Drosophila melanogaster: one gene and its partner. The protein of the gene in region 2 binds, or shares a complex with, the protein of the main gene of each other region. Each region holds a gene or a part of one and is shown on either strand. Other genes may lie near its edges. The genes, in order: ND-30 and ND-13B. A codon is read from its position in the direction of its gene.

The links.
Region 1: the proteins of ND-13B (region 2) and ND-30 are in contact, whole or in part, in a cryo-EM structure (PDB 8ESW), measured with the Drosophila melanogaster proteins. Residues at the interface, in NP_648409.1 of Drosophila melanogaster: Tyr28 (codon at 1,380), Ser43 (codon at 1,335), Tyr44 (codon at 1,332), Tyr47 (codon at 1,323), Thr48 (codon at 1,320), Leu51 (codon at 1,311), Arg55 (codon at 1,299), Cys74 (codon at 1,043), Gly75 (codon at 1,040), Glu79 (codon at 1,028), Gln83 (codon at 1,016), Ala84 (codon at 1,013), Asn86 (codon at 1,007), Glu87 (codon at 1,004), Ile89 (codon at 998), Leu90 (codon at 995), Lys93 (codon at 986), Met94 (codon at 983), Trp97 (codon at 974), Lys98 (codon at 971), Pro99 (codon at 968), Trp100 (codon at 965), Glu101 (codon at 962), Lys102 (codon at 959), Leu103 (codon at 956), Val104 (codon at 953), Gln105 (codon at 950), Ala106 (codon at 947), Ala107 (codon at 944), Pro108 (codon at 941); in NP_647775.1 of Drosophila melanogaster: Tyr66 (codon at 1,440), Glu69 (codon at 1,431), Cys70 (codon at 1,428), Leu71 (codon at 1,425), Pro72 (codon at 1,422), Lys73 (codon at 1,419), Tyr74 (codon at 1,416), Val75 (codon at 1,413), Gln76 (codon at 1,410), Lys77 (codon at 1,407), Leu89 (codon at 1,371), Ile90 (codon at 1,368), Ala91 (codon at 1,365), Pro92 (codon at 1,362), Glu93 (codon at 1,359), Val96 (codon at 1,350), Pro97 (codon at 1,347), Gln100 (codon at 1,338), Phe101 (codon at 1,335), Asp104 (codon at 1,326), His105 (codon at 1,323), His106 (codon at 1,320), Gln107 (codon at 1,317), Gln109 (codon at 1,311), Val119 (codon at 1,281), Val121 (codon at 1,275), Cys123 (codon at 1,269), Arg124 (codon at 1,266), Asn126 (codon at 1,260), Glu129 (codon at 1,251).

The regions. Positions count from the first base shown.
Region 1 is NT_037436.4:3,157,720-3,161,252, forward strand, and holds ND-30 (NADH dehydrogenase (ubiquinone) 30 kDa subunit), read right to left. Parts: upstream 1,860-3,533; 5' UTR 1,754-1,859; coding exon 1,690-1,753; intron 1,630-1,689; coding exon 1,555-1,629; intron 1,497-1,554; coding exon 838-1,496; 3' UTR 766-837; downstream 1-765. Other genes in the region: CG15812 (uncharacterized protein), read left to right, coding at 2,378-2,380, 2,452-3,533. UniProt on the Drosophila melanogaster protein: Core subunit of the mitochondrial membrane respiratory chain NADH dehydrogenase (Complex I) that is believed to belong to the minimal assembly required for catalysis. Complex I functions in the transfer of electrons from NADH to the respiratory chain.
Region 2 is NT_037436.4:10,692,428-10,695,922, forward strand, and holds ND-13B (NADH dehydrogenase (ubiquinone) 13 kDa B subunit), read right to left. Parts: upstream 1,682-3,495; 5' UTR 1,591-1,681; coding exon 1,570-1,590; intron 1,441-1,569; coding exon 1,279-1,440; intron 1,080-1,278; coding exon 888-1,079; 3' UTR 757-887; downstream 1-756. Other genes in the region: CG33493 (uncharacterized protein), read right to left, coding at 388-696; NijA (ninjurin A), read right to left, coding at 2,108-2,299, 2,597-2,988, 3,202-3,277.

The DNA of each region.
Region 1 (3,533 bases), 7.5 Mb from region 2:
TGTCGAATTTGTTTTTTTGTCAGCAGGAAGCGCGAAAAACGCGCGCTCACGAACTGCACCCAAATTTTCATTTGTTGTCCCAGTCCCACTGTGCATCCGGCCCGGAGTCCGGGCACATGGACTGCGAGAGAGGGCGCCAGGTGGCGCCAGAGAATTGTTTTTTGAGCCGTGCCCAGATGCACGCTGCCATTGTAAAGTAACGAAAATCTTTTGGAACACCGTCGGAATGCGGGGTGAAAACTTTTTTAAATCGCTAAATGTAATAATATGTTTATGTGTGTGTATCTATGTACTATATGTGTATGTTCTTGTACAAAAAAAAAACCGAACTAAAATCTAACAAAAATAAAACGTTGACGACGGTGCAGCTCGAAGCTCGAATTACGATAAGGTTTTCACCAAGTACAACTATCACTACCACTACCCCAATCCGCTCCGGCCTAAACTTAAGTACGTCCTTGCACCTGTACTTTCGCCGGGCACCGCTGCGCAGGCGCACGAATTGTCTAGTGGCCCACACTTGTTTTACTTAACGTTTTATATCTATGTATGTATGTACGTATATGCACATGGCCCTCGAGGAGGTTTTCGGATGTGCTAGATCCGGCGAATTCGTTTAATTCTCAGTGTAAACTACCATGTATGTAAACAATACGGAAATCAATAAATACTTGTGACCCTCTGGTTTGATACGAATTGCGTTTTCATGTGGAAGTAGTTTAGGAACGAGCCAAGAAAGCTAAATAGCTAAGTAGACCGTCGTTTCCATTATGTTTAAACATCTCATAGTGATCACGTTTTATTGATCTAATTACCATTTAACAAACCGACTTCGGATTACTTCTTGGCTGGAGCCTGTGGCGGAACTACCTCGGCGGGGGGATTAGCGTTGCGGAAGTTGGGGAACTGTTCCCAAGGCGCCGACAAGTCAAACTTCCTGAACTCCTGGGCCAACTCCAAGGGCTCGCAGACGACTCGCTTCTTCTCATCATCGTAGCGCAGCTCTACGTAGCCGGACAGCGGGAAGTCGCGGCGCTGGGGATGTCCCTCAAAACCGTAATCGGTCAGGATGCGGCGCAAGTCGGGATGGTTGGCAAAGAACACGCCGTACATGTCCCAGATCTCACGTTCGTACCAGTTGGCCGCCTTATGCACCTCGCAGGCGGAGTCCAGAGGAGTCAGCTCATCGGTGTAGGTCTTAACGCGGATGCGCGAATTGTAGCGCAGCGAGAGCAAATTGTAGACCACCTCGAATCGGTTCTTGCGACAGGGCACATCCACGCCGGCAATGTCAACCAGGTTGGTAAACTGCGCCTGATGATGATCCTTAAGGAACTGCAGCACGGGCACCACGCCCTCTGGCGCAATAAGCACCTCCAGCTCATCGCCGGCGGTCAGCTGCACCTTCTGCACGTACTTGGGCAGGCACTCGGCCACATAGCGCCCGAAATCGGAGAGATGCGAGCGAGCGACTGCGTCCGGCTGGCGGACAGTGGCTGTGGGTGGAATGTCTTACATGTAATTGACACCGCGATAAAGTCGACTTTTACCTACGCTTATCCGCCTTCTTAGGCTCCACTGGCGTTGTACTGGCCATCCGAAGAGCAGTGGATCCAGCAGCGGGCACCACTGATTGTTGAAGGGTTAGAATAGATCAGTTGAAGCTCTAGAGGCAAGGCATTTACCAACCATGTTTGGCCGACAGAGCGGCGACTGCGGCACGGGCACCCAGATTCCTGATTAAGGCCGCCATTCTACAAACTGTTCAATATAAATTCAACAATTTGCTCCGTTTTTGACAATTTATGTAATGCTAAAATGTCAATATAGTTGTTGGAGCCTAGGGTTGTCAGTGCGCCAAATTAATCTACTCGACAGCCCTACTTCGGTATTTTGACAATTTCGGTACAACACAAATACCGCACATACATTATTGTATTTCGTGTACGTTAACACCGAATTATTCTTCATTAAAAACCTCAACATTTTTTTGGAATATTTGCTTAAATGATTTATATAAAAAATAAATATACCCTACTACTTGATTTATTATTTAATTAAAAATACCAACACGTTCCTTGAAGTACAGCAGATGGAAAACATTTACAATTATTCTTCATTACCAACCACAAAACTTTTCTAGAATATTTGGTTAAATGATTTTTAAAAAAAAGAAATGTACCCTACTACTTCATTTATTATTTCATTAAAAATACCAACACGTTCCTTGAAGTACATCTCATGGAAAACATACCGAAATACCGAGATCTTAGGTGCATTCGACTACCCTGGCTGAAAACTGTGACAACGCGTTGCGTTTGGAATTGCGAGAATTGAAAACTTCTTGGAAATCAATTGGAAATCAAAACACAACAAGATGGTAAGTGAAACGCGTCCTCCCAAATCCCCGGGATAAGTGAAATTTAAATCTACAATCGTCGCCGTTTGCAGAATCATCTTAAGTGGATGGGCCACTCATCCACGATAATGGACATCCAGCGCTCGCTGCGTAATGATAATCAGCACTGCGAGGTGGTGCTGGCCTCCAGGGACGGCGTTCGAGTGCGCGCCCATCTATTCGTGCTAAGCACTTGCAGCGAACTGATGCGCAACCTCCTGGTGGACGTTCCGCGCGGCCAGGAGGCAACCATAATGCTGCCCGACATCCGCGGAGATTTGCTGGAGTGCATGCTGTCCTTCATTTACATGGGCGAGACTAGCCTGCCCTCCGCGTCGCTCCCCGAGTTCCTGGAGGCCATTAACCTCCTCGGCATCAAATCTGCCATCAGCTTTGAGTGCAATCCATCGGCTAGTCCACCCAGTGTCGATGTAGAGAACCATTCGTTAGCCGTGGAGTCGGCCAAGTCCATTACAGGACTCCAAATCGCTGAGGCCGAGCTGCTGGACGACGAGGAAGAGCCACATCCGATGGTCTCCGTCCCAGCCACTACACTCGCGGGTTCTCAACACCAGCCCAGCCATTCCAGTCGGTCATTGGAGTACATTGATGTCTACGAGCCGCCGAAGATCACCTACTCCATCGAGCACATGGACGGAAGTTCCAGCGGCAACCAATTTATACTCACCGAGAACACGGGCACTTTCACCATAACGCAGTCAGCATCGAGTTTGTCCAAAATTGAGGCAGATGAAACGGGTACCAGTGGCGCTGAAGTGGACCTGGGCGATGATGACGTGGATGCGGACCTTGCTGAGGATTCTGAGGAGCACGAATCACAAATGATCGACGAGGAGTTCGCGCAAGCCGATCCTCTTATGGAACTAGAAGCTGGTACTGAAATGGACGACGATGACGACGTGCACGACCAACTTGTGGACGAGGAAATAGACGATAAGCCCCGCAAGTTGGGCGGGGGAAAGACGCGAATCCGTCGCCCCATAAGTGCGAAGGCTGTCAAACGATTGTCCGATTGCAAGCCAACGCGAATCCAGCAGTTCGCAGCTCTGAAACGTGAGGTAAAAGACGATATCAACGATGCTTTGGATCTGGCGGCCGACGCGGTTATCATCGA
Region 2 (3,495 bases):
TATTATATACTCTCCTCCTGTCCACCTCATCATTGTTGTGCAAATTCGTTGTTCTAGTTGTAATTTTAAGCTGAAATTTGTTGCGCGCCGCTTCACGGTCGAGAAAACCGGAGAGGGCGATTAAAATGGAATCAATAAAGCGAACATTATGCGGGTATATTGTATTTTCACAAACGTTCTATATATATTTCCAACAAAGCCAAGCCCGAGAAGGTCAAAATGTTATCTATCGTCAGTGGGATTGTTTATACAGTGGCCGTCTGTCTCCTCACGCAATCGCTCGATTTTGTCCCCGGCCGCCCGCCTGCTGATGTCTGGAATTCTCACGGCTCTATTTGTCGAATGTAATACGCACGCCCACGCGAAAGTCCTGCTCCGAACCTTGGATTACGAGGGATACGCATTGGTCTTATAGTCATGGTGTAGATGCAGTTTGGCCTGGTATCTGGTGCTGCCCGTACCCGATTGTGTTCCATGTGTTCGATGCACCAGGCTGGCAGAGCCATCGATCTTCGTCCGACTGTCCGCACTGCTCCATAGCCCGGCGATGGCCTCCAGAGCCAGTTCCGTCTCCTCATCGTTGTCGTCGTGCTCCGCCGAAACCGTGAGATCGATCTGACGACGCTGGCGAGGCACCGATGCCGCCAAGCCGATGGAGATGACGAGCAGTAGCAGAAGGTACTGAAGCGCACGCATGTTGAAAACGAACTGAGATCGTCAGTGGATCGATTGCTTGAATGTGGCTGATCTTGTGGTGCTGTTCCAGGTTTATTCATTTGATTAAAGCTCAATTATTTTTTAGCTGATAAAGCCACTGGCTTATCAACGGATTTATTGCTCTCTTCTCATTTCGATTTGCTGTAGATTAATTAGTACTAAGTGTGAATCTAAACCTTGGGCTCCATGATCTGGGCTGGTGGCCAGTCCCACTGCTTGGCAGGCGCGGCTTGGACCAACTTCTCCCAGGGCTTCCAGCCGAGCATTTTGCGCGCAAGGATCAGCTCGTTCTCGGCCTGGACAATTAGCTCCTCCACTTGACCGCAACCGACGGCCTTTTCCAGGGCAGTGATGTCCTTGTGCTGCGGGTGAGAAAGTTAGAGATTGTATTAAAAAAAAGGAAATTGGAGGATGATCAAGAAAATAACAGTCTTTAATACAAATAACAAGTGTAAGGATCTGTATCTTGGTTGCACGGTCTATATAGGTGCTACATATGCTTTGATGAAGGTACCATCCACTTGGTAAACCCAAATTAGCAAAGTTTCCAAATAATCTTACTTGGGCCACAGAATCGGCGCGCTGCTTGACCAGTTGCTCCGTGTACTTGCGGTAGCTGGCGTCCTGTGGCATCTTGGACACCGCCCGCAGAATCTTGCCATACAGAGCACTCAGCGTGTGGTGTGGATTGGTGGACACGGCGAGTCCAGTCAAACCTGTGGACTGCAGAAGGAAGCGATGACATAACAATAACAATTGAAGAAACGCCGCGAAACTCAAGCGGGGATTAGTCGGTCATTTCTCTTTTGTAGGTTCTCGAGCAGGTGCTTCACTTGAGTTCCTTGAACTTACCGCCTTAATGATCTTGGCCATGTTTGCAATAGACTTTTAGCCGAAAATGCTTAATTTTCCGCACGACTTTATTTTGTAACAGCTGTTGCCCAGTGCTGTGAAGTGTCGAGGCTATAACACAGTGCTGTGAAATGCCACTACGTAAACTATCGCAACTAAACGATAGTTTGGCGCCAAAAATTGATTTAAATAGTATAAATAGAATTGCATTTGAGTTATTAGAATTTAATATTAATAACAAAGAATATCCAAAGAACAACTGGTTTATAAGTATTTAATATTAATGTGAACGTATCTTATAACATTTAAGAAAGTTTATTCATTTCTTACTTAAAACGCCCAAAAGTAAGAAAAACAGCATTTCAGTTATTTAAATAAGCGAGAAATGCTCGTGGGATTTTATTTATCACAATTCATTGTTGCGTTTAGAAAAATGAGTCGCTGAGTGAAATTTAACAAGGTTTGAACAATGTGAGTATTATCTAAAGATGCATCTGTGTGTTCATAATACTAAAGTCTATTTAAAATACAAGTTAAACTATGTTGTATTGGCGGGTAAAGCAGGCACAGTATCTCTGTCCACAGTAAAGGCTGATATTAGAACATTGACCACAGTGACTATAAAAATGCCGCTAACTGTATAATTATTGATCCTGTTCGCCCGGCAGATATCGTGACCGTTTTTGATGTTATACTGGCCATTCAATATAAGGCCCACGCCCACAGCAATCTGAAATGACAAAGAAATTATGAGTGTGTGTCATCAAAAATATGGTTATTAAGCAAAACAGTGAAATCTGGTTAAGATAAACTACTTTGTTTTTATACTACAATAAATGGGCTAAAACCTTTGATTACTTTGTATATATTTGTTTTTAATGAATTTTCTTATCATCTTAAGAATATTCTGATAGTTTAGAAATGTAAGTTATACATGTGTGGAATTTACTTATCAAATCTTGCGTTCATTGGATATTTAAGCTTGATTTTACAAATATATGCATTATTTGCACCTATAGAAATTTACCTGGAATATAATGCTGAGTGAGATGAACAGCAGACTGGGATAAAAGTAAGGATGTTGTGAGCTCGTCTCCAGAACATAACGCAATTGATTTGCATTCGCGGAGAGAAGTGCCAGGTCCATCATTCCCTGAGCCAGGGTCTTCTTGTGCTGATATGCATTCACATCGGGTATGGGTGTCTCCACGCCGTTGATCGTCACAAAACCGGGTCCATTGTATCCCGGAAAGGAGAAACTGGGTCGTCTTCCTCCATTGGGAACGTTTACATTCACATTGCCGCCGTTGCCTCCGTTGCCTCCAACAGTTGAAAAAAGACCGTCATCCACGCCGGGATTATCATTGCCATCTTTAACAAAGGGACGATCGTCGTTGTCATCATCATCGGTTTCGGGAACTACAAATGAAGCAAATTATTAAGTCACTTAAAATCGATTACCACCAGCTTAAGCTACTTACACCATCAATTGTGATTTACCCAAATAGTTTAAAGAGCGCGGTTTTAAGCAGCATTAGTCACAAGCACAATTAAAAAACATAGACAAGCACAGAAAAATGTTCTAACTTTTTGTTTCTTTTTGAAGATAAACGAATAAGTTGGCATACGAACCTGCTCTGGGCACTCGAAGAGTATTACGTGTCCGTCCGTCGATTGCACCGCCATAGCTGTGTTTGCTGATATTTTCCTGTAAAATTTCAATAAAATCATTTCCGGAATATTAACAACTTTGCTTGCAAATCCATTGTTGTCTCAAAATGCAAATTCATTTAGCCAAACGGCGCACAGCTTCTGTTCTGTGCAAGTTTTGATTAATGCAATTATATGCTAAGTAGTTTTTATCTGTAGGATTATGTACTTGCAATATGTTTTACAACTGTTCAGTAACTTCGAACACAAAAAAAA